7 linked regions of the Danio rerio genome follow. The main gene of each other region encodes a partner of the protein of the gene in region 4 in a complex. Links are inferred from orthologs where the notes say so. Each region holds a gene or a part of one and is shown on either strand. Other genes may lie near its edges. The genes, in order: pfdn6, uri1, asdurf, uxt, pdrg1, dnaaf10 and ruvbl1.

The links.
Region 1: uxt (region 4) and pfdn6 share a complex: the UniProt entries of both Homo sapiens proteins name them as parts of the PAQosome complex. The link is inferred for Danio rerio from reciprocal best matches to the Homo sapiens genes UXT and PFDN6.
Region 2: uxt (region 4) and uri1 share a complex: the UniProt entries of both Homo sapiens proteins name them as parts of the PAQosome complex. The link is inferred for Danio rerio from reciprocal best matches to the Homo sapiens genes UXT and URI1.
Region 3: uxt (region 4) and asdurf share a complex: the UniProt entries of both Homo sapiens proteins name them as parts of the PAQosome complex. The link is inferred for Danio rerio from reciprocal best matches to the Homo sapiens genes UXT and ASDURF.
Region 5: uxt (region 4) and pdrg1 share a complex: the UniProt entries of both Homo sapiens proteins name them as parts of the PAQosome complex. The link is inferred for Danio rerio from reciprocal best matches to the Homo sapiens genes UXT and PDRG1.
Region 6: uxt (region 4) and dnaaf10 share a complex: the UniProt entries of both Homo sapiens proteins name them as parts of the PAQosome complex. The link is inferred for Danio rerio from reciprocal best matches to the Homo sapiens genes UXT and DNAAF10.
Region 7: uxt (region 4) and ruvbl1 share a complex: the UniProt entries of both Homo sapiens proteins name them as parts of the PAQosome complex. The link is inferred for Danio rerio from reciprocal best matches to the Homo sapiens genes UXT and RUVBL1.

Annotation. Positions count from the first base shown.
Region 1 is NC_133189.1:35,060,185-35,064,592, forward strand, and holds the start of pfdn6 (prefoldin subunit 6), read right to left. Parts: upstream 2,872-4,408; 5' UTR 2,836-2,871; coding exon 2,772-2,835; intron 1-2,771. UniProt on the Homo sapiens protein: Binds specifically to cytosolic chaperonin (c-CPN) and transfers target proteins to it. Binds to nascent polypeptide chain and promotes folding in an environment in which there are many competing pathways for nonnative proteins.
Region 2 is NC_133193.1:16,045,165-16,049,596, reverse strand, and holds the start of uri1 (unconventional prefoldin RPB5 interactor 1), read right to left. Parts: upstream 2,883-4,432; 5' UTR 2,596-2,882; coding exon 2,515-2,595; exon of another isoform or gene 2,111-2,514; coding exon of another isoform or gene 2,084-2,110; intron 40-2,083; coding exon 5-39; intron 1-4. UniProt on the Homo sapiens protein: Involved in gene transcription regulation. Acts as a transcriptional repressor in concert with the corepressor UXT to regulate androgen receptor (AR) transcription.
Region 3 is NC_133184.1:42,816,297-42,820,762, forward strand, and holds asdurf (ASNSD1 upstream open reading frame protein), read right to left. Parts: upstream 2,865-4,466; 5' UTR 2,790-2,864; coding exon 2,712-2,789; intron 2,590-2,711; coding exon 2,536-2,589; intron 1,111-2,535; coding exon 1,035-1,110; intron 913-1,034; coding exon 872-912; 3' UTR 860-871; downstream 1-859. Other genes in the region: asnsd1 (asparagine synthetase domain-containing protein 1), read right to left, coding at 1-859.
Region 4 is NC_133183.1:10,252,711-10,257,157, forward strand, and holds the start of uxt (protein UXT), read left to right. Parts: upstream 1-1,630; 5' UTR 1,631-1,848; coding exon 1,849-1,931; intron 1,932-3,930; coding exon 3,931-4,012; intron 4,013-4,195; coding exon 4,196-4,263; intron 4,264-4,355; coding exon 4,356-4,447. Other genes in the region: zgc:86609 (ER membrane protein complex subunit 3-like), read right to left, coding at 833-987. UniProt on the Homo sapiens protein: Involved in gene transcription regulation. Acts in concert with the corepressor URI1 to regulate androgen receptor AR-mediated transcription. Together with URI1, associates with chromatin to the NKX3-1 promoter region.
Region 5 is NC_133186.1:391,970-396,576, reverse strand, and holds the start of pdrg1 (p53 and DNA damage-regulated protein 1), read right to left. Parts: upstream 2,920-4,607; 5' UTR 2,885-2,919; coding exon 2,801-2,884; intron 2,716-2,800; coding exon 2,643-2,715; intron 1,328-2,642; coding exon 1,253-1,327; intron 1,159-1,252; coding exon 1,078-1,158; intron 1-1,077. UniProt on the Homo sapiens protein: May play a role in chaperone-mediated protein folding.
Region 6 is NC_133188.1:1,036,302-1,040,973, reverse strand, and holds the start of dnaaf10 (dynein axonemal assembly factor 10), read right to left. Parts: upstream 3,027-4,672; 5' UTR 3,005-3,026; coding exon 2,819-3,004; intron 1-2,818. UniProt on the Homo sapiens protein: Key assembly factor specifically required for the stability of axonemal dynein heavy chains in cytoplasm.
Region 7 is NC_133181.1:43,388,327-43,392,716, reverse strand, and holds the start of ruvbl1 (ruvB-like 1), read right to left. Parts: upstream 3,210-4,390; 5' UTR 3,063-3,209; coding exon 2,922-3,062; intron 2,300-2,921; coding exon 2,213-2,299; intron 2,091-2,212; coding exon 1,958-2,090; intron 811-1,957; coding exon 659-810; intron 543-658; coding exon 453-542; intron 1-452. Other genes in the region: eefsec (selenocysteine-specific elongation factor), read left to right, coding at 3,797-4,088. UniProt on the Homo sapiens protein: Possesses single-stranded DNA-stimulated ATPase and ATP-dependent DNA helicase (3' to 5') activity; hexamerization is thought to be critical for ATP hydrolysis and adjacent subunits in the ring-like structure contribute to the ATPase activity.

The sequences.
Region 1 (4,408 bases), on a different chromosome or scaffold from region 4:
TTCTAATATTTTAATACAATATAAAGATATCTTCATGTTAAAAGCTAAACCATGATAGATTAGAATATGTTTCATTTTTACACTATATCTCACACTTTTTGGATAATGTTTTCTGAAAAATATGAATACATGATATGTCTGTTATTTTAAAAAGAAATCAAACACATTAAAGTGAAAGTTTACACAAGTACAATACACTGGTCTGTTTTATAATATGTAGTAATATTATAATTTTGCCTTTCATTAAATATTTTAATTTTAAAATATTTGAGCAATCATGAGACATTAAAATCAAAGCAATTACATATTTTCTATTATCAATAAAATCTATTTTTAATTTAAAATCTAAAGCTTATAATAAGCTACAGTATTATCATTACTGGGCAGCATGGTGGCGCAGTGGGCAGCGCAGTCGCCTCACAGCAAGAAAGTCGCTGATTCAAGCCTCGGCTGGGTCAGTAGGTGAACTGGGTGAGCTAAATTGTTTGTAATGTATGTGTGTGAATGATTGTGTATAGTTTACTAGTGATGGGTTACAGATAGAAGGGCATTCGCTGTGTAAAACGTGCTGGATAAGTTAGCGGTTCATTCCGCTATGGCAACCCCAAATTAATAAAGGGACTAAGCCGAAAAAAATGATGAATGATTTATCATTACTGAAAGTTTTAAAGGTTGATATTGTTTTTATTTCATTCATTTTCTTGTGGGCTTAGTCCCTTTATTCATCCAGGGTCGCCACAGCGGAATGAACCGCCAACTTACCCAGCAAGTTTTTACGCAGCAGATGCCCTTCCAGCCGCAACCCATCTCGGGGAAATGTTTATATTTAATGTTATTTTATTTATATATATTTAATATATATATATATATATATATATATATATATATATATATATATATATATATATATATATATATATATTATCACTAAATTAAATAAAAACAACATCAACATCAACATCAAAGTATGTTGTATACTGTAAACTCGCAGACTTTTTTCGTCACATCCATAACACATGTTTATTTATTTATTTAAAATGTATTTAATTTTTTAAAAATTTACAGATTGATTTTTTCTGCTCCCATGACTCTGTGGTTGGTAGCTTCTCTGGGAATTCATGTTTTGAAATGTGTGTATATGTATGTATATGTATGTATGTATGTATGCATGCATGCATGCATGCATGCATGCATGTATGTATATATATATATATATATATATATATATATATATATATATATATATATATATATATATATACATACACACACACATACATACATACATATATACATACATACATATATACATACATACATATATATATGCATTATTTGGTATATGTTTTTTGAACAATCATGATTTATAAAATCTCAAATTAATTATATTTATTCTAATTTAGTTAAAACTTTTTATTTATTCAAAGATATGTTGCAGGAAATGTGCAAGTGTACACTGGTATAACTTGGCTATATGAATATTCATAATGGTGTTACTATAAATACCAAGAAACTTACACAATGAATCATAAAATAAAATAAAATAGTAAAAGCCTTTTTAAAACGTTCAATAATGAGAATTTGTAGATTGAATGTGGATTTTGTCTAAAATAGCTCTGGGTAGCTAAATCAAGTCCAAATACAACATAACCGTGACATTTGTACTTTATCAGTGCATTGCACTACATAGATATTAAACCTGAATACAACAAATTACTACAAATACGTTAAATATAAATTATTAAAGGAGCACACACATACATATATACACACACATACATACATACATATATACATACATACATATATATATGCATTATTTGGTATATGTTTTTTGAACAATCATGATTTATAAAATCTCAAATTAATTATATTTATTCTAATTTAGTTAAAACTTTTTATTTATTCAAAGATATGTTGCAGGAAATGTGCAAGTGTACACTGGTATAACTTGGCTATATGAATATTCATAATGGTGTTACTATAAATACCAAGAAACTTACACAATGAATCATAAAATAAAATAAAATAGTAAAAGCCTTTTTAAAACGTTCAATAATGAGAATTTGTAGATTGAATGTGGATTTTGTCTAAAATAGCTCTGGGTAGCTAAATCAAGTCCAAATACAACATAACCGTGACATTTGTACTTTATCAGTGCATTGCACTACATAGATATTAAACCTGAATACAACAAATTACTACAAATACGTTAAATATAAATTATTAAAGGAGCCGAACATAAAGATGATTGAGGTAAAGTTGGTTTTATATTCGCACATTCGTTCAGTGAAAACTTGTGACATCCCTACATTGTTTACCATGGTGATTTTGATAGTCAATGGCTGCTAATATGATTTTACCATTTAGAATTGACAAAAATACTTTAATAAGATTTTTAGAGAGAAAGCCAATTTACACAATGAGGTAAAGTTGGTTTTATATTTACACATTCAGACTTTCTCCTATTAAAAATTCCGAAAAGTATTCTGTAGTTAGCAAATCCTAAATAGTGAAACCATATTAGCAGACGATGGCTATCAAATTACACCATTATTCAGTCAAATAAATAGTGATAACGTTAATGTAGTCTTATTTACATGTGATTTCAGACCGAATATTCAAAGTACCATGGTAAACAATATAGGGAGCATGCCACACATTGTCACTGAACGAATGTGCGAATATAAAACCAACTTTGCCTCAATATAAAGATGCCCATGCAGGGAGTGTTGGATTGCTAACTCTGAGCTTTTCGTGCTGTAAGTTACCTTTCTGGAGTTGTTGATATTTCTCCAACTCAGCTTGCAATTTCTTCTGAATCGCTTCAGCCATCACACCTGCTATTCCAATGTCTGACTTATTATTATTGCTAAATAATAAAAATCACGATATTTTATGACAAATGCAGACAGTCAGCAGCACACTACTCAAGCACACAGTCTGAGGCGCACGGGAAATGACGTCATATCATTGCGTCACATGGGGGTTTTACGATAGCTGATAAAAAGAGTTACTTCGCCATCTAGTGTTTAAGAAAAACATACACAATTTTTTTCAGTATTATGTTTATTCACACACCTTTAAATAATTTGCTCTATAATTTTACGCACCATATGTAGATTTAACGCATCAGTTAATGTGATTTTTGGATTAATACGATGGGTACAATTTTTCCAGTATCTAAAAGCGTAGTGCCTCTCCTGTCCATGTGGTGTCAGTCTATCCTCTTCCTCCAAGCCCTCTGTAGTGACAGTCAAGGCAATATGGCAGCGCGCATGGTTCAAATTCTAACGTGAAGGTCTTTTTTCGGGTGTGCGCGACCACATAGAATCACAACAGCAGGTAAAGTCAGTTATATATTTTTTCTATAACACAAGCAAATGTAATGACTGTTCTAAATCTGCACCTTAAGCAGCGTTTTAAACATATGTAGGGTAAAATAGTATCATGTGCTATATTCATCTATTACGAGAATGAACCATGGTTTAAAGAGTTAAGTGTAATCATACTTTTTTTGTCGTATCGATTGTTATTTATAACCACAGTATTACTGAAAGTACTACAGTTTAGCTGGGGTTAGTGTAACAAAACCATGTTGATTTGAGGTTACCATGGTTAGTTTTTGTGGTAAAACCATGGTTAATTTTCGTAATAGATGTCATGATGTTTTAACTTTATCGATATTTGCTAGTAACGTTATTCTTCTTCTTGTGATTCTTCAAAACTTTTTTTATTTTTTTCAATAAAAAAATCAAATTTTCTAAGATGACAAACAAACAAACAACCATTAACCACCATTTAACCATAGTATCTGTGGTAAACCTGTAACGTTAGTTACACTAATAATATGTCTGTCAAAACACGCGCACACACACACTTCCCTTGGTTCAATTTCATAAGGGCAGGAATGAAATAATAGAATAAAACATAAATAATTCATAAATTCTATTGTTTTGTCAGGCAGTCATTTTGAGTGTGGCTATTTTTGCTTTTTTCTATAATGAACCTGATATCTTTGCTGTGAGTTGAATGTGTATTATGAAATGTGTTCATGGTTTTAGAGTTATGACAGAGGTTGTCACTTTGTAAAATTCATATAAAACATTTGTATGATGATTAGTCCTCTGAACCTGCAATTTTAGTTGAAGAAATCACTTTTTTTGGACACTTTAATCTCAGTTGTTTTGATTATGCTTGTTACTTGTGGGAGCGACACAGTAGTTTGTGTCGACACACCAATGTTTCTGGTGGGGTTAATTTTATTTGTTGTGAATACTAGTAGGAACCTAGTATAAACACGGCTAGAGATTGGATACACTTGGGATGTTCTATGTTAGTAAACTGTGTGATGTTTTTCAGAAATTTCTTATTAAAGTCTTATGTTTACATAGAAATTTTATAACTT
Region 2 (4,432 bases), on a different chromosome or scaffold from region 4:
TCACCAGTGCTCAATTTGACTTCTGCAATCTTTTACCACCTGTTGTGGAAACACAGACAATGCATCATTTCATAACTACTGAAATATTAAAAATACCACAGACAACAATTAACAACCACTGCTAAATTATCAGTAATGTTTTAGTAGCGTGAATTGGCCATCACAGAGAATGACAGTCCTGAAAGTTCCTTGTGAAAAGTGGGACAAGCCTTTACATATTATTCCCATTCATGTCATTTCTCAATAAAATCAGAGTAAATGTTACATTTTTTTTTTTTTTTGCTATTGAATGTTTTTTTTTCAATTTCCATAAAAGGAATGAGGTTATTTCAGAGTGACTGGCAAAACAATGACAGTTTCAAGGTTAATTATGTGCTAAACTACTAAAATAATGTGATGATAGTAGGTTAATTATAACTTCCAATGTAAATACTGGTGTGGAATATGCAAGATCTTTACAGATTCTACAGGTAAATGACAAGATGATGTCAAAAAAATTTAAATAAACACACAAACACACACGTTTTGTTTGGCTGTACGATATTCTGCTATATCAGCACTTGTACAGCCTTCATACTCTTCTGTATTATTCCGCCCACATAGAGTGACAGCAGATGAAAAAACTTACTACAGATTGACAAATATAAGGGTTTTGGACAACATAATGTACTTTTGAGGTGAGAATGTAGTTGTTTAGATTGCAACTTTGCAGTTTATTTATAAGGATAGTGGCAATTTTAGAATATTTATAATTTCTGAGAGACCGTTAGCCTGTCACTGAGCAAAGCATAGACGGTTGACGTTTTGCTACAGAATGGCGACAAAAACCTCGATAAGTGCTTAGGGGAGGAAAAATTCAGCAAAAATAAAAATAAAAAAAATCAAATTACAGCTGATCAAATCATTATAAATAAGTGTCACTAAGTTGATGTTTCTCTTTTGTATGTTGTAGTGCTGTATTTATACCATAGTAATCTGGTTGCATTTGCGTTGCTTTGGTTTTTTCGGGGTTAATTATTGTGATCCCCCAATCGCAACAGAGAAATACTGGGAAATCTCTAAACATTGATGGCATTTCATGCCGTTCATCCTTATAATCTTAAAATGTGAGCAAAATGACCTGTTTTGTCATCACTTTAGACATTACGCTAGAGAATCCTTTAAATACTAGCTCTAAAGTGACGTTAGTGAATTAGCACAGGTTTCTGCTGTTCTGATGTCAGGTGCAGATGTGAATAATTGCCAGAAGAAGGTAGTTCCTCATACAAAAGTGTTTTTGAGAGACTCCGGTAGTCTTATGCCACTGAACTGTTGAACTCGTGGCAGTGTGATATGGCTGTATATCGTCACTGGTGGGACACTAAGGCCAAAGGGTACCAAAAAAGAGGTACGGTTCGCTTTTAGGTAACTTTTGACATTTTAAATGGCCATAAAAGCATTCCGAATACTAGGTAATGTCAAATAGAACTTTATAATTCTAAGGTGACGAGATTATATATATATATATATATATATATATATATATATATATATATATATATATATATATATATATATATTAGACACACACAATTATAAAACAAACTTTTGTAATATAAAGAAACTAAATTTATGACAAAGTAGTAAATGAATGATAGAATGATACTGGCAGAGAATATGGATTAAAAGTTACAAATACTTTGTGTTTTGGGGTTGCACTGTAATGCTTAGGACTAGGAGTATTTTAATGTCATCAAATGATACATGTTCTAAATATACCTGCCAATATACAGTATATTCTACTTGGTATAAACTTCTGTTATGGTAAAATATTTTTTATGGGTGTCTTAAGCTAAATGTGGCCATAATAATAAATGTAATAGACAAAGCTATAATTATTATTTTGTTGCTCAGGGATTCTAAAACAGTTTTTTTTTAAAACACATCTTTGCTGTAAAGAAAGCAGGTCAAACGTAATTTTCAAATCCAGCCAACTGGGTGTTTATCTTCAACTGTGAACAAATGGGGTCAAAGACATTGTGTGTATGACATTCACCTATTCTTTTCACTCCATGCACATAGAAATGGGTCAATTAAACCTTACCTTCACAGGGAGTCGTTTCCATTTCATTGCCTACTCTAAAAGTACTTTAAGCTTTTACTTGCTCTATACATTAAGGCAACGTGGGCATGTGCCATGTGGTTGATTAAATTGGAGTTAACGTCACATGTAAAGTTTTCTACTAACATCAAGATAAGCTTCATGTAAACACATACACGTGGATTTTACAGCAAAGTATTAAAAACACATGCAAACAAAAATGCAGTAACTGCAAAAAGAAAACCAACGGCAACACGTGATACAGAGAGAACTTTCCAGAGAATGAAACGGGCAACGCTGCAAATATACAAAATAAACGACATTAAAATCGACGACAAATCTTTCAAACGCTGATGACAAATCACGTTTATGAACATCAACAATAATATCTGCAGGAATGCATTGTTGTTATGGAAATAAACATTACTCCTGACCTTCCTGTGCTCATCTTTCAACCTCTCCACGCCTCGAGGCAAATCTCTCGTACTCCGTTTGACTTTCCCAACTGCAGCCATTTGCTCGTGCATCCACAATCAAGCAAGGTTTTTGTGTGATTAAATATCCAAAACAATGAATGCTCAGGGGTTTGAAGTCCTATAGAAATGTTTATGAATGCAATGTGATGCGTTGCACTCAATTTGTCGCCTCGTAGTCATCAATGAAGCAGAACGAGTCGTCCAGTATATCGAGATTGAGACCATTTCACACGTGCATGGTACGATGTCAATCTAATCCCGAAATTTCCTCTTGTTTACAGTCCACCGACGGCCTGCTTCCCCTGCGCCATGTTCATCTAATCACGGATGTAGTACGTGCTCTGGATATCGCTCTCCTTCTACGACGCAAGCACGTGATCTCCCACTTTTGCTATTTAATTTCACTTTCATTTATAATTTTCGACTTTAAATGCTTAGCTGCAATAAATTTATTGAGTTATTCGTGGACTTAAATGATTACATGCTGAAATGAAATTAAATAAACAACTTTTAGTATTAACGCCACTCTTTAAAATTGGCAAACGAAAGTGGTCGCTTGTTGGGACACGTGTATATATACATATTTTGATAACAGTAAATGTAGGTACTGTCTAAGCGCTTTTGTTCTGTTCACTTTATATGTTTAAATGAAAACATGGGTTGATGATGAGAGGATGTAAACAATCCTCACGCCAACGTCACGTGACGTTACGAAACAGGAAGTCGTACAATTTATGATTCGACAAAAACAAAAGGCTTCTGTACAATTCAAGGAGCTTAGAATGACCATTCATGATCATTCTAAGCTCTTTGGTACAATTTCATGTAAGAAAGTTTGCTCATTACCCCACATTTAAAATAAATAAATAAATAAAATAAGAGAAGTTACATTTAAACTGATTAATAGATGCTATCCAAACCATTTGGATCTAAAAAGGCTTATGAATAATATTAACATCAACTGTCCATTTTGCTTAGAGATTCCTAAAACTTCTGTTCATTTATTTTGGAATTGGCCTCATTCAGTGACATTTTGATGTGATATTCTTGATTTTATAAAAGATTATGTGCTGGCACATTTTGCATTTACTTATAAGAATTTTTTTTTTTTTTTGGTTTCTGTAAAAGTCAAAAGGAAAGTAATACTTATTTCATAACCTGATTTTTTTGTTGGGCAAATTTCATATTCACAAAAACAAATTTTGTAAGTGTATTTTGTTTAGGGTTAGGATTTTCTTTCTTAATGTAAAATTGAAATGAAAATGTATTTTGAGTCTATTGAGGGATCAACAAACTTAAAAGCAATAAGAACAAGGACTTTATTGCAGGATTTGGCACTTATCTTGGACTAGATGACTGAAAACCCCTGGATTGTTGTTGTTGTTTGCCCTTACAAAAATAACTGCAGTAAACGAGAGCAGTAAACTGAAGTAAAACTGCAGTACAACAGCAGTAAATAGAAGTATAATTGCATATGAATTAAGTACAATTGCTATAAAAATGAAGTATAAACACAGCTCAAATGCAGTACAATAAAGTTTAACTACAGTTTAAGTTCCAGTTAACAAAACAAGTAAACTCTGTCTTTACTGCACTTGTGCAGTATGCCAATGTCTAATATGCCAATGGCGTGTTAAGTACTACACTTATGATTCAAGGGATTTGTTCTTCAACACCTTCCGAGAATATTTTGTACTTTTTTAGGGATGTATTTTTTTGGATTCAAGTAATTTTTTATTAAGAATTTTAAGAGTTAAATTGCAAAAATAAGTGCAGTTAATTGATCAGTACAACAGCATTAGCCTATATACAACGAAAACTGTGGCAAAATTCAATGCAACTGCAAAATAGCAGTATAATAAGGTATAAACAGTTT
Region 3 (4,466 bases), on a different chromosome or scaffold from region 4:
GAACGGCCTCGCTTAGAACATCAATCAGTGCACTAACCACTGCTTTCTTGTCAGTGTTTGTTAAGAATGCTTTCAGATTTTCAACAGAGGTTTGAGAGGCGTTATGATTTTGTTCAGTTGTAAGTGATGAAATGGATGTGTTCATCGGACAAACAGGGGAGGTCAGGTAAAGTCCAGAACTATTTGTGTTTAAAGAAACACATTTGGGAAGACCTTCACATTTCAATTCCGGGCTTTCAATTGGCTTGTCGTCACTGTGGAAAATCCATGGATAAAGTTCAAAAATAAATGTACCATCTAGTGAAGTGTCTGTTAGGTCAAACCTGTAAACTCCACCAGGTGGTACCTCCTGCCATTGGGATTGACTATCATCTGCTGGCTGGGAAGCAACTGATACGAGTGTGAAAAAAGCTCTTTCAGGATTGAATTTCCAAAGCAGACTTCTTCTCCCGAAAAAGTCCCTCCCGAACCAGATGCAGCGCTCAGACTTTTGGTAATAGATAAAGGCCCACGGTCCTTCGAGTTGTGATAACAAACATACAATATCTGAGGCACTGGTGGCCATTGACAGTTGATGAAGAAGAACTTTGGTGTCATTTTCTTCCTGCTCTAATTTCAGACCACCAAACACCTCTCCATTCCAGAGAAGCATATTCCCAGTGTCATCTTGAAGAGGTTGAGGGGTCAGGCAACCCCTCATATGAAGTACATGTGCAGAGAATAGGACACTGCAGTTTGAGATTTCTTTTGTAATGTCTTTGCTACAATTGGGTCCTCTGTGTTTGAGATTTTGAAGCACATTCTCCTCCAGTGGATCATGTGGTGTGGTCAAACTGACCACACAGCAGATCCCACACATGATATCACTTCACTATATATCTTGATATTCTTTCCGCATGTTATCCAGGTCCTCTGTATAACAGAATATTATGACAATGTTAGAAGAACACACTCAAAATGGTGGCATTAGTATTGTATTTATGTATCATCTATCAAAAAAGCAGAAACAACTCAAGTATAACAGAAACACTTACGTTTACAAGAGCTAAGGGTTTCTCCTTTGTCTGCCAGAAAGAATATATTGCTGTTGGGTTGCTGGGTGTACACTCTCTGTGAATATAATCTTAGTATTACTGGAATGTGATGATATCAAGTCAAGTTGAGCTTTATTGTCATTCCACTACATGTGTGATCTCGGCATGGGACGGTAACCGGTTTCAAGGTTTACCGCGGTTTGGAAAATTCAAGGTTTTAATCCCAGTAAATTGTTCTGTTATACCGTTCCCAAGTTATATGTAAAAGTTTTTTTATATATTTTTATGTGTTGTATAGAAATCTACGTTTTTCAAACTAACGAATAGAGCAGAAGTCAAAGATTTATTTTAACTATTTAGCCTGACATGTTTACTGTTCCAAAATATTATGTTCCTTAAAATAAATAATTTGTGTTCAGTGGGGAAATTATAAATGTTTGTTCTATTTTACCCATACATTTTAAAAAAGAGAGAGCAGTAATCACTTTCACAATACTGTGATACCGTGGTATTTTTATACAAGGTTATCATACCGTCAGAAATTTATACCGGCCCATGCCTAGTGTGAACATACAGAGAAACTAAATGTGCAGTCTCCCAGGACAACGGTGCTACATAAATTAATCATAAATACAAACACAACTCTGCACATAAGAGCTATTTTAAAAACCTACGCATAACTATAAGATACTTCACTATACACATGGACTGGCTATAGAAGTACTCTAGAAAATCTCCACAAAAATGGGCCAGAAATGAAACTCAGTCCTATTTGCTTCATTTACAAGTCTGCCATAAGAAGAACACTGACTTTGAGGTAAATTATCTTAAAATAATAAATTCAATAGTTCAAAGGAATTATCCAATTTGAATCCCCATGGGTTAGAAAATGGCAACAGATGATACATTTAAGGTACTTTATAAGTTGATAATTTTGTCAAGCTTAAATTCTACTTTGCTTTTAATTGATGTCAAATAAACTGTTTCACAATTACGTTTTATCTTTCATAAATTTAACTGGAAAAATATCTCTAAACATCGAAGGAACTTCTTAGTTGATATTTTTAAATGTGAATGTAATTAATATCATGGTAAGACTTTATTTTGATGGTCCCTGTTGCACATTTTTCTGACTAAAGTTGTACTGCAACTAAATGCCAGTTACTTCTCATTTGGGTATTAGTAGACTGTCTGCTTAATATCTGCTGATACTGCTGCTTTCAACATTTCACTGACTAAGAAACTTTGCAAGTACATGTCAATTTACACCAACCCCACCTGACAGTCTACTTATAATCTATTGCGAATTAGTATAGTGGAGCATAAGTTCATATATTATATTGTATGCTACACTAGAAAACATTTTAGTATATATTGCCTTCTATAGCGATGTGGTTTGACTTTGTTACATCTATAATTAAGTGAAAGCATCTGCTACACCAAATGCAGAATGACTCTTGATAATATATAGAAAGTGACAAGACGATATGACGTTACATACCCTGTTTTTCTTCAAGTTACTTAACTCGTCCACAACAATCTTTTGCTCTTTTATCTGCGAATGAATAGTTATGTTTTTAGGATCATCAAAAAACAGAAATTACTAAACATGCTTAACGCGTTTTACTGGTGTCAACTGTATACTATAAATTACAAAAAACATATATGATAGACAACCTTTTGGTTCAGCTCCTCTTTTTGTGCGCGCTCTTCTGAGGCCCCAGGCTCAGTTCGCTGTATGTTCTTGGAGGACATTGTTTATTAATACGCTTCAGATCATTTTTAGGGAAACATCTCCACGAGCAAGTAACTCGTTCGTCGCACAAGAATGACGTATGCGCCAACGACGCTTTAAAAGTGCGTCACGTAATCCTAACCCCATTATCCCCCATAAACAAAGCCTGTTAAAGAATAATGTTGGGTGGATAAATCTGCAGCATCTAAACAAAGACGCGTTGTTGAATGAAACAGGGAATCTAAGTAATGTGGTCAAATACGGTTCAAATACGTCGAATGCTTTCAAATAGAGTTTTTACCCGGATATTAACGACTTTTCATCGCGAAACAGCGGCTAGCCCATCTATCTAAACCTGATATTATCATATTATCTTATATCATATTTTGCCATTCTTCTAATGTACGATAAGATGGTAATAAACAAAGCCTATCATAGCTCTAGGCGTACATTATCTTATCCAAATATTTTGGTTTATCCTCAGTAATTTGAGAGCTATCCTAAAGAGGATTGTTTGCATTTAACTTTCAAGATGAACAAATAATGCTCATCTTAATGGAAAAATTGTTCAGGGTGTCCGCAGGGACTTTAAAAGTCTTACATTTCAAAAACAACATTTTAGGCCTTTTAAAACTTTACTTAAAAGGGTGTTACAGGTCTTAAATAATTTTAAACAGGTGTTAATTTTTTTGTCCATGTAAAGCTATTTAATCGGTACAAATAACAATTATTCTAAAAAAACAATTAACTAAATTGTATATTCTAAAACTCTTTACCAATTTGGTTCAATTATCTTTCTTAAAATAAACTTATTTTGTTTATAAATAAGTGTTTGAATTGTAATGGGGCAAGTAAAAACAAATTGCACTGGTCCTTAGAAAACAAGTTTGACATTCATTCATTCATTTTCTTTTCAGTTTAGTTCCTTTATTCATCAGGGGTCGCCACAGCGGAATGAACTACTAACCTATCCAGCATATGTTTTACACAGCGTGTGCCCTTCCAGCTGTAACCCAGTACTGGGAAACATCCATACACGCTCATTCACACTTATACACTACAGACATTTTAGTTTATTTATTTCACCTATACTTCATGACTTTGGACTGTGGGGGAAACCGGAGCACCAGAAGGAAACCCACACCAACATGGGAGAACATGCAAACTTCACACAAAAATGCCAACTGACCCAGTCAAGACTCGAACCAGCGACCTTCTTGCTGTGAGGCAACAGTGCTAACCAATGAGCCACTGTATCCCTCCTAAATTTTGTACATAGGAATAATGCTCTAAAGTGAAGCGAAGAGAGGGGTGGGGGGTTGTGCATGAACCCCGAATCATATCTCTAGGGGCCCCCAATATGCGTAAGCCCTTTAGGACTGTCCTGACCCTACCACAGGGGTGTCCAACCTTGGTCCTGGAGGGCCAGTGTCCTGCTAAGTTTAGCTCCAACACACCTGCTGGGAAGTTTCTAGTATATCTAGTAAGAGCTTGATTAGAGTTGGAGCTAAAGTCTGCAGGAAAGCGGCCCTCCGGGATTGAGTGTGGACACCCCTGCTCTACCATCTTTAAAGGACTTCACAGTCAAAAAAATAATAGTTTGGTAATAAAACAATGTCTCATGGGGTTCTAAACCTTTATGAGTTTCTTTATTCTGTTCCACAACAGAAGATATTTTGAAGAAATCTAAAAACCTT
Region 4 (4,447 bases):
AAAAAAACCTACAACACAATATTTCAGTAAATTTAAGACTTTTTAAGGCCTAAAATTTAGTTTTTGAGATTTAAGAGTTTAAGACCCCGCAGATACCCTGACCCTGACCTTCTTTGCTTTCAGGAACTTTGATGTAGAGGCTGAAGTATGAGAAGGAGCGCTATCCTGCTGAAAAATTTGCCCTCTCCTGTGGTTTGTAATGTAATCTGCAGCACAAATGTCTTGATACCTCAGGCTGTTGATGTTGCCATCCACTCTGCAGATCTCTTGCACGCCCCCGAACTGAATCTAACCCCAAAACATGATTTTTTCTTTACCAAACTTGACTGATTTCTGTGAGAATCTTGAGTCCATGCGGGTTCCAATAGGTCTTCTGCAGTACTTGTGATGCAGTTCAACAGATGACTCATCAAAAAAAAAAAATCTACCTTTTGCCACTTTTCCAAATGATCAACTAGTTGTCAAGTTATTATTTGTTGCTCTTACAACTGGGATTGACAACAAGACTTTTGTCGGGCAGTGTAGAACAAGAATCATTTGATGACATTGTACTGAAATATCAGTGCAGCCCCCAAAATTAATTGATTTGTTAATTAGTCAGGTTTTATAAAAATTCTGAACTTAGGATTTCTCATAGTTAATTACACATGTTTATTTATTCATATAAAGGGTACTTGGAATATTTCTACACTACTTACTCAGCAATCAGAACTGATTTTATTTTAATTCTGAACGTAACAGATTGATTGATGTTGTTTCTGAACTCCAGATAGTGATTATTGTTGTTTAATGTATCTGTTTATATCTAAACACCTGTATTTTTGATTCTCACCTGTCAGACACCTGCTGCAGATCCACTTTCTTCTCATTATGGATGAGTTTAGTGATGTAATGCCGCAAAACTCCGACGAAGAATGTGATGAAGACTATGGGCAAAACAACCCAAAGGCGAATACTGGAGTCTAGCAGCAGCTCTGGACCTGCCATTTCTATGCTGACTGAAATCGAACTATAAACACTGACACTTCTAAAGTTTTTTTAAATGAATATTCAATTCTGGAATTAATACTACGATGAAAAGTCAAACGGTGGTGTAACTACATAACTTTTAGACACATTTCTGTATGAACATGCGCCATTTGAGCAGCTGCCGTATGACCTTTGAACTAGTAGCGATTCAAACACGAGTCGTTTTGATGAGTCGGATCTTTGAAATGAATTGTTCGAATCGTCTTACACCGGTTTAGGTGGTTTGTGCACGAAATGAACACTCTGAACCGAGTCTATTTTGTACCGAGTCACTTTAAAACTTGACAGTTTTTATTCGCAGACATAGTAAATACAGATATTTTATGAAATTGGGTATATATAGCTCTAATAAAATCTTTGAAGCAATCAGGTATTTTAATTAACACGTTTTGAATGAGAAAGAATTTGTTGGAAGTTGCGTCAACGCTTTAAATTATATTGTATTTACAAATATATTTGTCTTATTGAGAGAATTGTTCTAATAGGTAAACATTAATTAAATAAAAACGAAACGTAGATGTTCATTATAGGAAAACTATAAAACAAAAGTTTAGCTAACGCCATTTCCGGTTTAGACCGAGGACGTTTCCGCGTATCTTGTAAACAAGTGTGGAGCCACGTGACAGACCGAAGGAAGGTTTAGCTTCATTTAACGTACTCGATACTTCATATATTTGCTACTACAATATATTAATCTGTCATATGTAAGCTTTAATCGCTGCATCAGCCCAGCGACGTGCTGTTAATGTTTGATGCACATTAATATTAGAAACATCGATTGCTATTAAATAAAACTTCGATCTGTTATCATCTCATATCATGACTTCTGGCACATCTGTTATTAATGACAAAGTCTTGCAGTATGAGACATTCATCAGTGAAGTATTAAGACGAGACCTGCAGTAAGTATCATTTAATATGGATATTTTGCACGTACACGAAGCTGCCATGGTATTAACGTTACCATGCTTGTACGTTAATTCCATACAAATACAGCTCTATGCTAATCTATATTGTTTAAGCTAATCTATTATGAAATGCTACTATGTGTTCTGGAAACATTATGTACGCTTGTCCAAAGTACTTGTTTAAATGAGCTGAATCAACACGATTCTTGAGTTTTTTTTAGCACAACTACATTTTTTTATTTCAGTTTACTTAAATTTGTAAAAACAATAAAGTTAACTTGATCGATTTGTGTTGGGACAAGATGAAGGAATTAATAACCCTGTGGAACCCAGTATAAGGAACACTATAGTACTTTATTGTAATTTTAATGGTGTTTTTAAACAATACTATAGTAAAGTGAATTGTACTATACACACACCAGCCACTTTATTAGGTACACCTTTCAAGTCCCGGGTCGAACCCACTTTTGCCATCAAAACTTTCTTAATCCTTCGTGGCATAGATTCAACAAGGTACTGGAAATACTCCTCGGAGATTTTGGTCAATATTGACATGATAGCATCACGCAGTTGCTGCAGATTTATCGGCTGCACATTCATGATGTGAACCACCAGTTCCACCACATCCCAAAGGTGCTCTATTGGATTGATGTCTGGTGACTGTGGAGGCCATTTGAGTACAGTGAACTTATTGTCATGTTCAAGAAACCAGTCTGAGATGATTTGCGCTTTATGACATGGTGCGTCCTGCTGGAAGTAGCCATCAGAAGATGGGTACACTGTGGTCATTAGGGGTTGACAGCAACAATACTCAGGTAGGCTGTGGTGTTAAATAAATTATCCCCCACACCATTACACCATCACCACCAGCCTGAACAGTTGATGCAAGGCAGGATGGATCCATGCTTTCATGTTGTTGATGCCAAATTCTGACCCTACCATCTGAATGTGGCAGCAGAAATCAAGACTCATCAGACCAGACAACGTTTTTCCAATCTTCTATTGTCCAATTTTGGTGAGCCTGTGTGAATTGTAGCCTCAGTTTGCTTTTTTATCTGACAGCAGTGGCACCAAAGAGTGGTCTTTTACTGCTGAAGCCCATCCGCCTCAAGGTTTGATGTGTTGTGCATTCAGAGATGCTCTTCTGCATACCTCGGTTGTGACGAGTGGTTATTTGAGTTACTGTTGCCTTTCTATCAGCTTGAATCAGTCTGGCCATTCTCCTCTGACCTCTGGCATCAACAAAGCATTTGCACCCACAGAACTTTTTTTTCCCTTTGCACTATTCTCTGTAAACCCTAGAGATGGTTGTGCGTGAAAATTCCATTAGATCAGCAGTTTCTGAAATACTCAGACCAGCCCGTCTGACACCAACAACCATGCCACATTCAAAGCCTCTTAAATCACCTTTCTTCTCCATTCTGATGTTCGGTTTGAGCTGCAGCAGATCCTCTTGACCATGTCTGCATGCCTAAATGCATTGAATTGCTGTCATGTGATTGGCTGAAACTTTCGTTAACGAGCAGTTGGACAGGTGTACCTATTAAAGTGGCCGGTGAGTGTATGTATTATATTATTTAGTATATGTAAGTATATAATAAATATTGTGAACTGTTAAACTGTAATGGTGTGCTTCAGTATTTACTATAGTAAACCCTGTAGTTGTAGAAAACCACAGTATTAGTTGTTTGTTTATAATGCTATAGTTGTGTTAATAACTATAAAGTCACCACAAAATATTAATTCAAGTACTATACTATAATATGATTCAAAATACTATAGTATTTACAATAAATACATTAGTATTTTTTCATGTAAGTTCTTTTTGCTCCACCAGGAAAGTGGTGGAGCAAAAGAGATGCTGTGGATGAGAAAATACGGCAATACCTGCAGCTGAAGAACACAATATAATAAAATATAGTTCAAGAACACTATAGTATTTACCATAAATTACTATAGTATTTTTTCATTTGAGTACTCTCTGCTCTGCCAGGAAAGTGCTGGAGCAAAGAGATGCTGTGTATGAGAAAATCGCACAATACCTGCAGCTGAAGAACACAATACAAAGCATTCAGGTATGTGAGATTTGCATATGTATTTGCATATTTTGTGCTTATTCTTATGTCCTGACTTATTTGTTTTCAGATATAGTTTGTGCTGTGTAAAAAATTTTTACATTTACTATTACTGTCCATCTCAGTTGCTCTCATTCTGCCTTGTGCGCTTTTAATATGTGGCTGTGTTTGATTCACCTTCAGGAAAGCGGCAGCAAAGAACTGAAAACCGATGTTGACCTTGGCTGCAATTTCTATGTGCAGGCTCATGTGTAAGTGTTGTTTGCATGACGTCTGTGGTGCTGTGCGTCAGTGGAGATGTTGAACATTTTTTGAAAGGGCAATCTCATTTCTTTTTTTCCAGACCTGATGCATCAAGAATATATGTGGCAGTCGGATATGGATTCTTTGTCGAATTCACGCACGCAGAGGCTTTGAAGTTCATTGAAAAGAAGA
Region 5 (4,607 bases), on a different chromosome or scaffold from region 4:
TTAACCTTTTGGGTTTTACAGAGTACAAACTATTAATAATTTATATATATATATATATATATATATATATATATATATATATATATATATATATATATATATATATATATATATATATATATATATAGTCACACTTTACTATAAGGTTTATTAGTTAATGTTAATTAATGCATTTACTAACATAAACAAACAATACATTTACTACTGTATTTGTTCATGTTAGTTAACGTTAGTTAATGAAAATACAGTAGTTCATTGTTAGTTCATGTTAACTCATGGTGCATTAACTAATGTTAACAAGCATGGATTTGAATGTTAATAATGCATTAGTAAATGTTCAATAATGATTAATAAATGCTGTACATGTGTTGTTCATGATTAGTTCATGTTAGTAAATGCATTAACTAATGAACCTTATTGTAAAGTGTAGCCATAAATTTAAATATCTATGTAACAAAATAGTTTTGTAGTTTTGTTTACATGTATGCAAGTATCATAAATATATAATAAATATAAATATAATACACACACGGGCGAAGCAGTGGCGCAGTAGGTAGTGCTGTCGCCTCACAGCAAGAAGGTCGCTGGGCCGAACCTCGGCTCAGCTGGCGTTTCTGTGTGGAGTTTGCATGTTCTCCCTGCGTTCGCGTGGGTTTCCTCTGGGCGCTCCGGTTTCCCCCACAGTCCAAACACATGCGGTACAGGTGAATTGGGTAGGCTAAATTCTCCGCAGTGTATGATTGTGTGTGTGAATGTGTGTGGATGTTTCCCAGAGATGGAAGGGCATCCGCTGCGTAAAAACTTGCTGGGTAAGTTGTCGGTTCATTCCACTGTGGCGACCATGGAATAATAAAGAGACTAAGCCGACAAGAAAATGAATGAATGAATATTACACACAAACATCACAAATAAACTTTTATTTTGGATGTGGTTAATCTTTGTCCAGCACTAATATAAATGCTTTTTAAGTACATAAAAATACTAAGACGCAGACTAAATAACACGTCTTGTCTTCGGCACAGATGTTTACACCATTTATAAGTATGACTGAGCAAGAGACTGATGAAGCAGCTCTACCTTGTAGCTCATTGAGACGGTTCACTTTCGCTTTCAGTCGTGTGCGGAGGTCTGTTATTTCCTTATCAAGCTGCTCTTGGTCTGTCAGGAACAGTAGAACAGCTCATTTATTAAACACAGTGGCACATGTGAAGGGTTATTCACACAAAAGCACAGCTGAAAAAGACACACTCACCTTTCAGGATCATTGATCTGGTGCTTTCTTGAGGGAATTTGATGAACATATTTCCAAAACACACCTTTACATTATCTAGATTAGATCGGATTCAATTTTATTGTCATGTGCAGAGACAAACTTCAAATGAGAACCAGCATTAGGCAAACAAAATAAGATTACAGAGCAAATGGCATCATCTATTAGTTTTGCTCTTTGTAGAAGAAATCTGTGTTTATTTTGTTCTGAACATCTTCTTATGTAAAATACAATATGTGTTTATTGAGGTAAAGTTTGTTTTATACACACACATTCATTCATTTCAACAGTGTCAGCTTGTGACTCCCTCTCTATAATGTTTATTATGCTACTTTGAATATTTGGTCAGAAATGGCATGTAAATATGACTTCAAAACAACATCCGCTCTATTGAGCTGACTGTGAACAATACTGGACTGTGATAGTCATTGGCTGCTAATATGATTTCACTATTTATAATTAACAGTTTTCTGAATTTATATTAGGGCGACATGATGGCTCAGTGGTTAGCACTGTGGCCTGACAGCAAGAAGGTCTCTGGTTTGAGTCCCAGCTGGGTCAGTTGGTGTTTCTATGTGGAGTTTGCATGTTCTCCCTGTGTTGACTTGGGTTTCCTCCCTGGTGCTCCGGTTTCCCCCACAGTCCAGACACATGCGCTATAGGGGAACTGATCAACTACACTGGCCATAGTGTATGAGTGTGTGAATGAGTATGTATGGGTGTTTCCCAGTGATGGATTGCAGCTAGAAGGGTATCCGCTGTGTAAAGCATGTGCTGGAATAGTTGGAAAACTTAGTTCATTCCACTGTGGCGACCCCTAATGACTAAAGGGACTGAGCCCAAATGTGCCAAAAAAAAAAAAACTTTGTAAATATAAAAAAGTTGTGTGTTTTCAGTGGTTGGAGTCATGATAACTTACTTTTCTTTGTTTGAATATCCCTAATATTACATATATAATACAATCATATTAAATATTAGTAAATTATTAGATTTTGGATACCCATAGGATGATTTTTTAAACCCATATTCACAAAAAAAGGTGCAAAAATTCAAGCCATAAAAACTAAAATGACAACATAGTGAACTGAACTGATAAATCATGAGTAAAACAAGTTAATTAAACATTCTAGGGTAAATTACAAAAAATAAACCTGTAGTAAACATACCGGGGTGTTACATTAGGTGTGGTTATAAGCTTAATAACCCTATTACTGACACATTATAAATGAAATATTTATTACTTTGGAAGATACGTGTACTTATATATGTGCTTTATACGTAGTACAAGTTTTATACGCATGACACTGCATCCAACACCAAGCATATGTGCCATTAATGCATTATAAACCAGTATTCTGTAGTCTGTACTCGCCGTTTGGTGAGTTGTTTCTTAACGCGCTGAGAGCTTCTCGGTTTCTGTTTCTCCGCACATCCAGATCCACAATCTGTCACATGTCAACCACTTCAATAAACACCACATATAAAACAGAAATTACCCGATAATTGACTGCTCCTATAACTCAATCGCACCTGTTGTTTGTCGGTGAGTATGTCTTCTGCAGCAACCTCTACCTCAGTCAGATGCTCCAGTACCCGCTGCGCGCTTTCGTCCATGCTGAACTGTGCGTGTGTTATGCGCTAGACGAAATAAGTCCGACTGAGAGTGGAAACAAGTTGTGCTGTATTTTCGTTCCGGCTCACAGCGACCATCAGCTCCGACTTCAGATGTGAGATCCACAACGAGGAAAACAAACCTGATATTCGTAAAGTAAAGTAAAAAACTCTTCAGGAAAAAAAATGACTCAAAAACGCAGCAATAAGAAAACTGCTAAAACGTAACAGGAAATGCTAACTAAATAAATGTTCAACTATGGTTCAGTTTTATAAATAATTATTAATAATTATTGTCAAAACTGTCTGTATAGATGGACGTTTGCTGCTGACAAAATAAATTAAATTAAAATTAATTAAAATTAAAAAATAACATTAATAAACCGGTGAGGCGGTGGCGCAGTAGGTAGCACTGTCGCCTTACAGCAAGAAGGTCTCTGGTTCGAGCCTCGGCTGGGTCAGTTGGTGTTTCTGTGTGGAGTTTGCACGTTCTCCCCGGGTTGGTGTGGGTTCCCTCTGGGTGCTCCGGTTTCCCCCACAGTCCAAACACATGCGCTTATAGGGGAATTGGGTAGGCTAAATTGTCCGTAGTGTATGTGTGGGAATGAGTGTGTATGGGTGTTTCCCAGAGATGGGTTGCAGCTGGAAGGGCATCTTCTGTGAAAAACATATGCTGGATAAGTTGGCAGTTCATTCCGCTGTGGTGACCCCTGATTAATAAAGGGACTAAGCTGAAAAAGAAAATGAATGAATGAATGTTAATGAACCTATTAATAATCTGCATGTGTTGTGCTCAGCAGTAACTGGCAGCAGATAGTGTTTGTAAGAAAATAATCTTTTGTTTAAAATATCTGGACATACTCTGGATGTGGCTCTTGCATGTTCGAGTAACTCCTCCCATGTCAAGAGGATTGCAAAGAGCTTAAAACTGTATTTATGATCATCACAATCACCGTATGAGTCAGGCAGAGAATGAGGAAAATAACAAGTTACACACAATGTGAGATGATGGCTGCTTCTCAGTGGGATGGAGGAGCCGGGGCTAATCATGAGCAGACTCAACACTTCAAATCTTCATTTCTGAATAAATACATCACAGTATATTTATCTTCATTCACAATACAAATATAAATAAATGCATAATATTATTGTTATCGCAATATTAGTATTTGCAATATACATTCTTTTTCATTGATTGTTTATCTAAATTAGATCAATCAGATGGGGCCATAATATCTTTAGTCGCGCCTCCCCAGTAGTGGCTGTTCTGTTATTGGCTGGAGTGTCCTGAACCCAGAGCTGAAAATAAACACTTATGGGTGGAGTCCAGAAAGGAGAATGACAACAGCCAATCAGAGTCAGAATATCTGCATATCAGGTTTTCACTCATTCGTAGTGTTTTAAAGACTAAATGTTTGCAGCTCGACACGTTGCTGTTGTTGTTTTAGTTTGAATTAGAATTAATTAGATCTGAAAAATAACATTTTTGCCTGTACATTTTAAAATCATTAAATCAATAAATGATTTAGAAACAGCAAATAAAATAGCGTTTTTACATGGAAATAATATGTGATTGGAAATATCGTTATGGTAACACTCAACAACAATATCCCATAGTTTTGCAGTGTCATGCAGCCAGTGTAAACTCTATGGACCCTTTTCACAAGACTCTAATGAAGCGTTTAATGAGGTGTCATCAGCATCTTAAATCCCTGAAAGTTTTCAA
Region 6 (4,672 bases), on a different chromosome or scaffold from region 4:
CATTTTGAATTATACATCGTACATACCCAGTAAATACTCTTAGTAAGATATAAGATATTGATGCTAATTGTTTATTTTGTAAGCAACACCCTGAGTCTCGTTCGCTTATGTTGGCAATGCAGATACTCTAATTTCCTTTGGAAAAGCTTTCTCTCTTTTTGTAATTGAGAATGTTGATGCAGACTTTTCTTTACTATGGGAAAATGTTTTGTTTGGCTTTATCAGTTAAAAAACCGAAGCTTGACATATTTTTTTTTCTTAACCTTCTTATCTTACTAACAAAACCTTATATACATACATGTAAATTTTCCAACCAAAAACCTGTTTTCATATATTTTGCTTACTGAATTGCAGTAATACTATGAAACTATTTCTTACTCACAGTCTTTAAAAACAACTGAAATTTGTCAGTTATATAATCGTTTTCTTTAATGTGTGATTTATATACCCCTTTTGTTATATATATACCCCTTATATATACCCTTTTTGCTGTTATTTTTCTAATTAGGGGCCAAGCACCGTAGGTGCGTAGGCACCTATTGGATCCGTTAGCGTTCCTATTATTATTATTCTTCTTGTTTGTTTGTTTGTTTGCTTTATTTATAGAGCACATTTAAAAACAACAGATGTTGACCAAAGTGCTTTACAAAACGACCAGCATACAAAATCTATACCTATATATAAAAAATTTGCAAAATATATAAAACAGATTAAAATTAATTACAATCAAAGGCAAGAGACAGAAGGTGATTTTTTAGATGAGACTTAAAAGCACCAAGTGAAGAACATGACCGGATCTGTAAAGGCAGACCCTTCCATAGTCGGGGGGCTGCAGCAATAAAACCCTTTCACCTCTTGATTTCAACCGCGTTTTGGGGACAACTAGCTGAAACGTGTTTTCGGACCTGATTGGCCTCAATGAAGTGTGCCAGTGAAGAAGCTCAGAAATGTAAGTCGGTGCCAGACCATTCAAACTTTTAAAAACTAGAAGCAATAATTTATATTGAATTCTAAATTGGACTGGGAGCCAGTGAAGAGACAATAAAACTGGTGAGATACTAGAGGATTTTTTTGTCCCAGTTAAAAGCCTAGCAGCTGCATTTTGAACCAGCTGCAGGCGTGCTATTGATGCCTGTGAAACTCCAGAATACAAAGAGTTACAGTAGTCCAGTCTTGACATAATAAAAACATTAATGACAGTTTCCAGCTCTTTAAAAGAAAGAAAAGGCTTCAATTTGGCAATGTTCCCTAATTGATAGAAACCACTTTTGACAACTGAGTTTATTTGCTTGTCAAACTTTAACTCAGTGTCAAAAGTAACTCCAAGATTTTTTACGTGACTGTGGACCTTAGGCTTGATCGAACCTAATTTATTAATTGTAGATTCACAGACACTCGGAGGACCAAACACTAGTACTTCAGTTTTTGATTCATTCAAGTGTAAGAATTCTTCTTCCATTTCTTCCACCGGATATGAATGGCAGCCCATATAGGCGTATGCGGGAAAGTTGTATAATTTGGCACAATGATAGAGGACAGTCTTAACATTAATCAGACCAAATGTGAAGTCTCAAAATCAAACTCTCTAGCGCCACCACTTGTCCAAACTTTCACGTATGTTTATCATAATAACTTTTGAACCGAATGGGCTACAATCAAAATTCCGCTGACTCCTTGGCTCAGTCCGATTCAAACGCACCCTATGACATCATTTTCCGTCATGAATTTTTTCGCGCTATTTTAAATTTTTCGAAAAACCTATTTGATCGAACTCGTCCTAGGCCGTTTCTGCGATTTTCACCAAAATTGAATCACATGATCTACAGACCATGCCAACCAAGAGTTATGGAATTGAAGTTGATTAGACCAACTGTTTTCGCTTAACTTGCGATCAAATTTAACGTAGAACTTGCGAAAATGGACTTGAGACGATATCTCTGTAACGCATTCACCGATTCACACCAAACTTGGTGTGTGTTATGACAACTAGGGTCCGAGGTTATATGCTGAGTTTTGGCACATTGCCCCCTAGTGGTCCGGAGATACAAAAAACTTGATTTTTGGCTTATAACGTCTCAACCTTTCGTCCGAAACTGATAAAACTTGTCTCATTACATCCGGCAGAGCATGTCGAGTCGAATGATGTCTGATTTTCACAGGTCAGCCATTTTGGGCGTCGCCCATTTCGATTTTTGGCCAAAAACACTATATTTTACCAACATATTCACATATCATTACAAAACATGGTATTCATCTTCAACCCCATGCCCTAAAAGTACTCAAAAATTAAATATATATATATATATATATATATATATTATATATATATATATATATATATATATATATATATATATATATATATATATATATATATATAAAATTAAATATAATTTTAAAAAAGTGTTTCCGCAGACTGTTTTTATTAAGTCTGATTACATCAAACACAATTAATTCATCTTTACCATTAGAGGCTGGAGATATTCACAAACTGCTGACACACAACTGGGGTTAAACCCCTTATAAAAGGGATTTTTGCATAATAGATCATGAATAAATCTCTATTTTTAACTGATCCCTGACTAGTCTTATAGTCATGATTCACATGTGTATTGTGGATGAATATGAACTATGACGGTGAAGTAAACGTTAATAAACGCGTTGTAAACAGAGACTGAGGCAGTTGAGTTTTGTCGCCATGGCAACCGCGCCTCAGGACTTTTCTAGAAAGCGCCGAACTGGCTTAGCTAATAAACAGCAAAGCTTTTCAGCAGTTTGATTTGTGCTTCAGTGAATATATACTATGAAGAGACCTGACCTCTCTGACCAGCTGCAGCTCCCCGTGCTGGATCTCGTAGATCTGCATCACTCCGGTTCCTCTCGCGAAGTTTCCCATACAAACAAACTTGGCGCTGCACGGAATCCATTTGCTCTCGAACACCGTGTAGTTCAAGCTCTTCTGGATGTGCGCGATGATCTGCGGCTTCTCGAGAGCTGCTGACATGATCTGTGCTCAATATGAAACTAAAATCTATCAGTTTGAGCAGAAGGAAAGAGATGTCAGTTGCGCTGTTTGCTTCTTCTTTGTTTCAATGGCTGTTGACAACCCTCTTAAAAGCTATACTTCCGCCACCTGGTGGATTGGTGTGGGTTTTTGCTAAAAGGGATACAGCTGCGGTCGAGAATTATTTATATTATTTAACTACACATCTATTGTATTTTATTAACATCAACCCCAACCCTAAACCCAATTCTGACAGTATTATTTATTAAATAACCTATTAATTGTATGTTATTACCATATTTCCATCTACCCCTACCTCAACAATAAACCCAAACCTCACAGTAATGCAAAAACAGCAATTAAACAGAGTATTAGTCATATTATTTCATAAATTAACCATTAATTTTATTGTATTAACGTCTATCTCTACCCCAAACCTAAACCCAACCATAACAGTAATGTAAAAACAGGTATACACAGTATTAGTCATATTATTTATTTAATTACCCATTCATTGTAATTTATCAATGTCTACCCCCACCCCAGTAATGGAAAAAGTAATAATACAAAGTATTATTCATATTTTTTATAACATTACCTATTAAATTGAATTTTTATTAACATTTACCCCTTTTATCACAGTAATGTGAAAATATTAATTATTGTTGTAGTGTTACACAAATTATGTCATATTGATGTACCTGCAACTGCATCCCTTCTAGACTTCACTGTTTTTTTTACTGGATACTAGTAATATATAACAGAATAAAATGTATTTTACACACACACACACACACATATATATATATAATCTTTATAGTTCATTCTCCTTAAATTCCATTTATTATACCTATTGCATTTCACTGATTTATAATCGCAAAATACACTTCATATTGTTCTGGGGCATTTCTTAACATATTCTTAATTGTTATATTCTCAATTTTCAATAGACTGAACTTTGTTGCTCTTATACCGAGTGCTTTTGTTATTGTTTTTTAATTCACCCCAATTTATTGCTTAACATATTCTTAAATTAAAGGGACTAAGCCAACAAGAAAATGAATGAATGAATATTCTTAAATTCTCATTTGTTTTAAACTTAATTCTCCATAAGTTTCACTCATTTAGTATTCATAATTTCTAATAATATGTTTCTCTATCTGCACTGCTCCACATTTATTAACATTTCCTGATTCACGTTTTACAATAATGAATGTCTGGTAGGTGCTGTCTGTGTTTATCTATCTATCTATCATGTTTGTCTGTCTATCCATCCATCCGTCCGTCTATATCTGTCTGTCTATCCGTCCATCCTATCTATCTATCTATCTATCTATCTATCTATCTATCTATCTATCTATCTATCTATCTATCTATCTATCTATCTATCTATCTATCTATCTATCTATCTATCTGTCTGTCTGTCTGTCTGTCTGTCTGTCTGTCTGTCTGTCTGTCTGTCTGTCTGTCTGTCTGTCTGTCTGTCTGTCCGTCCAATAGTATATTTATAGGCTACACGTGAGCTCTCCGGTGTTTTCCTACAGCGTGAAGGACCCTCAGAACATAGTTGACCCACATTTAGCCTAATCAAAATGAACAAAAAAAATCTTCACAACTCAAAATAACTCAAATGTTTTTTTTAATTTAATAAATTCGAATTAAATCTAA
Region 7 (4,390 bases), on a different chromosome or scaffold from region 4:
TTTAAAATTGCATTTATTTAAACTTATTTTCCTTCAAAAATATGTTACTCATGTAATGGCGAGAATTTCCAGCATCATTACCGCAGTGTCACATGAACTTTCAGAATTAATTCTTATATGCTGATTTGGCACTCAAGAAATATTTATTTTATAGCTTAATATTTTTTCTTCTAATCTTTTTTTTTTTTTTTTTAGGATTTTTTTTAATGAACTTAAACTCCATTTATTTGAAATATAATCTTTTGTAGCATTATTATAGTCTCTTTTTCTTTGAATTCACTTAATTCATTCTTGCTTAATAAAAGTATTACGTTCTTTTAAAAATACGAGAGACAATCTCGTCCTTTATTCCACTGCCAGACTACCTGCCCACCTGTACTGACAAAAGATTACTTCAACATGCCAACTATAGAACCGCAGGAGAGAGAATAGCGAAGCATATCTGTCCATACCTTGACTGCCCCACTGTTAGCCTCGATGTAGATAACATCACCGACCTCCACTCTCTCCTTCTGCAGACTTTCATAGATGCTGGGATCCAGCTGCAGGAGAGATGAGATATGACTTCAAACAACCACATAATCAGCTTCCATCCAGCTTATCTACGAAATATAAGCATGCAGAAAAAAAACATAACAACATGCCTGCACTTCCTTACCTTCAACTGTTTGGTCCCCTTAGCTGTCTTCAAACCAATAATGACATGACTGATAGTTTTACCATAGCCTCCCATTGGGTTCTCAGTCTCACAAGGAGTCAGTTCAGTGACCTCTCCTTCATACACTTCTTTAGTCTCCTTGATACGCAGACCTGTTCGATCAAAAAACAAAACAGAACTTTAGATACTAGATTGATATAAACACTTTTAATAGTTTTTCGGTTTTACTGGCCAATACACTTTTACAAAAACCACATATTTCATTACGTAATAAAAAGCCAGAAGTGTATTTTCAATGGTTCATGCCATATATCTCTGTCAGCGTAGTAATAATGTGTGCATTCATGCATATCTCATTTGATCACATAGTCTACATTGTTTCAGAGTCATACTTGAGGGTTTCAGAGTTGAGGGTTGTGAACCAACTAGAAGAACAGTACAAGGTCATGCTCAAATCTATAGGAATACATAAAGGAAAATACAGATTTTACATGGCTTCTTTATTGTAGGGGTGTGTTATATCATCTAAAATAAAATGATATTCACTTAGTCCTGCTGTTTAATGACACGCTAGCTGACATTAATGCATGTTGCTCATTATAAAAACAAATACATATTCAGTCTAAACACTGCGGTTAAGCCTAGGACTATAAACCCTTTACTTCAAGTAAAAAAGCAAAAATATCAACAGCTCAAAAAACAGTAAGTTTACATTTCAAAACAAAAATACTGTGTTATTTTCAATTGTCAACATAATCAGTTCTGAACGGTCATACCAAAACATTTTACACATTTCAGAGCAACGATGGTATGCATTGTTCCAGAACTAATCTATTTTTAAACAAATCGAATGAGCCAAAGACTCGATTTTATATTAAAGACAGTCACTTGCTTCATTTTTAATTGAATCAGCAGTTTTGATTGAATTGATTTAATGATGGTAGGAATCACTCATTACGCAAGATAACGGCCAACAGCCTTTTTTGATTTAGATAAAGTATGTTTGAGATTTGCACATTTGTTTCATTAATGGCCCATATTTGTTTACCACGGCAAGTTGAATATTGCGTCTAAAATAGCATGCAAGGATGACTTCAAAACAATATTAGCACTATGTAATTGATTGAACAACGCTGTACTTTGATAGTCATTGACTGCTAATATGATTTCACTATTTAAAATTTGCAAAGAATACTTTTATGAAATTATATTATTAAGCAGAAAGTCTGAATGTGCGAATATATAAAAAAACTTTTCCTCTATCCTTTTTTGACAGGTTATGGTGGTGTGAGAGCTCACCTATGGCTCTTCTGAAGTTCTCCATCAGCACTTCGGTCTTCTTGATTTCTGATGAATAAACTTCGCTGCCCACCATAGGACAGAATGGCACTTTATTTCCCAACTCCTGTGCCATGGCCAGTGCTAGAGCAGTCTGTGGTGGATAGAAATCAAATGGGCAGACTATACATACTATCTTAAACAACAGCTCTGAAACTATTTTAATGTCCATTTTAATTATACAGTGCAGTGTAAATAAAACCAGTCTACCCTTACCTTGCCTGTTCCAGGCGGTCCGGCTAGCAAAATGGCTCTGCCAGCCATCTTTTTGGAACGAATCAGCTCAGTGATGATGCCACAAGCCTAACAAATATGCAAGAATTTTCTAGATGTTTATGTAACAGGATCAGTTTTTTTTTTTAAAGCCCAGGGCTAAACTACAGGCCAGAAAATGTCACATACATGAAAACATTATTTTGTTTAAAAAGTGTGATTAAAATATTCCATATATATATATATATATATATATATATGAAGAGTTCAGATGCAAAAACTTCTAAAAGCCGTCTGAAATGTTCTTCTAAAATAAACATTTTTATCAGGCTCCTGTTAGTAGGTTCAGTAATTACAAATTAAAGAATAATTAAAAAGTATGTTAATTTAATGATCTTTAAAGAGAAATAACTCATCAATAATCAATATAGAATGCTGAGATAAAAATGCTCAGCTTTAATGGAAGTTTCAGACGGTACTTAGAGGTTTTTGCATCTGAACTCTTCATATATAGCCTATGAAAGTATATGAATTTATCGTATTTACAATCAATTGTATCCAGCTCTTGACACAAGCAAATGAATTAGAAGTTTTGTATTTATTCTTCACATATAGCCAGCTACATACAAATCATTCGAGGTTATCAAATTAAAATGTTTGCTTTTCTTAATTAATGAAATAAACACGGAAATTGGTCTTTAGCTAGTGTTACCTCTCTGGCGCTTTCTTGTCCCACTAGCCCGGACGCGGACTGTTTAGCATTACCAGCCTCATCCAGACCGAGGCCCTTCACATGGCTATGAGAAGCGATGCGCTGCGTCTTGGTTGTGCTTTTTACTTCTTCGATCTTCATGTTTCTTAATAATTAATCGAACGCGCTGTGCGTGAATAAAACAACCACACGCCTGTCTCACGAGAGGCCGTTAAAATCAAACACAAGAGACCCGCGTTTCCATGAGGGTAACCAAGGCGATTTGAGGAAGTACCGTCCGCAAAACGTTTTTCAGTGGTTCTTTGTAACGATTGGTCAACTTGTGGAAACTCTGCATGACCATTGGACACTGCAACTGTCGGTCTGATCACTGTAAACCCGCCCCTATTCTTCGTGTGTGTTACATTTGAAATGTTGTGTTGGAACAAGGATCTACGCTGTGGGTTCCCATAAATAGTTTCTCTCAGAAGTGTAGATAACATAATATTTCCAAGGTGTAGATTATTTTTACTTTTAAACTAATTTATAAACAACTTTGTTCATGAGGAATGTTTCTTTTCTCAAACAAAATGCCGTGAGGCGGAACCAGTGATGTGAGATGCTGCCAGCTCAGGGATTGTTTTTTGGCAGCGCAGGAAGAGCAACTGTCAAATTTCTGAAAACTTTGCTGAATGAAGTAAGAGCCGAGGAATTTAGTTTACACTTTTATTTCTGATATCAAAGTTAATAAGTTGATATTATCAAAATTCATCAAATTACAGTAAGTTGGTTGTCTGACGACATCAAGCTGGTTGTTTTGACCAGCAGCGTCGCTGTCAGCAGTTCAAAGTCTGCGCATTCACTCTCTGTTACCCAACCGCGGTGTTGATCCAGAGATGACAGATTTTCCCAAAACACTGAACTTTAACGTCGGTGTCCTCGGCCATGTGGACAGCGGGAAAACATCTCTCGCCCGGGCGCTGAGCAGCACCGCATCCACTGCAGCCTTCGACAAGAACCCGCAGTCCAAAGAGCGGGGCATAACGCTGGATCTCGGCTTCAGTGCGTTCACGGTGCCGTTACCGGAGCACCTGAGGGAGTCCTGCGGGGAAAAACAATACGACAGTCTGCAGTTCACATTGGTGGACTGTCCAGGACATGCCTCCCTTATACGCACTATCATCGGGGGTAAGTGGGTGTATTTTTTTCAGTAAAGCAACAATTACACTAATAAAATTCACTTTGACGTGTGACTTCACGCCTTCTACGTACACAAAGCACTAGAAGTTACTGACTTACGTACTGACTTGTTTTTAATTAACTAACCAACAGAATAGTAACCTGTCAGGGCACTTTATAATCTGTGCAGCAGTACCACTTTTGATCAATAGGTGGTGTGTGTGCAGCGTTTGAAGATGCCATGTTAATCACTCTAAAGACAGAACAGACATTGTCAGGGAAAAAAATCTCACCCTCTTCCCAAACTAACA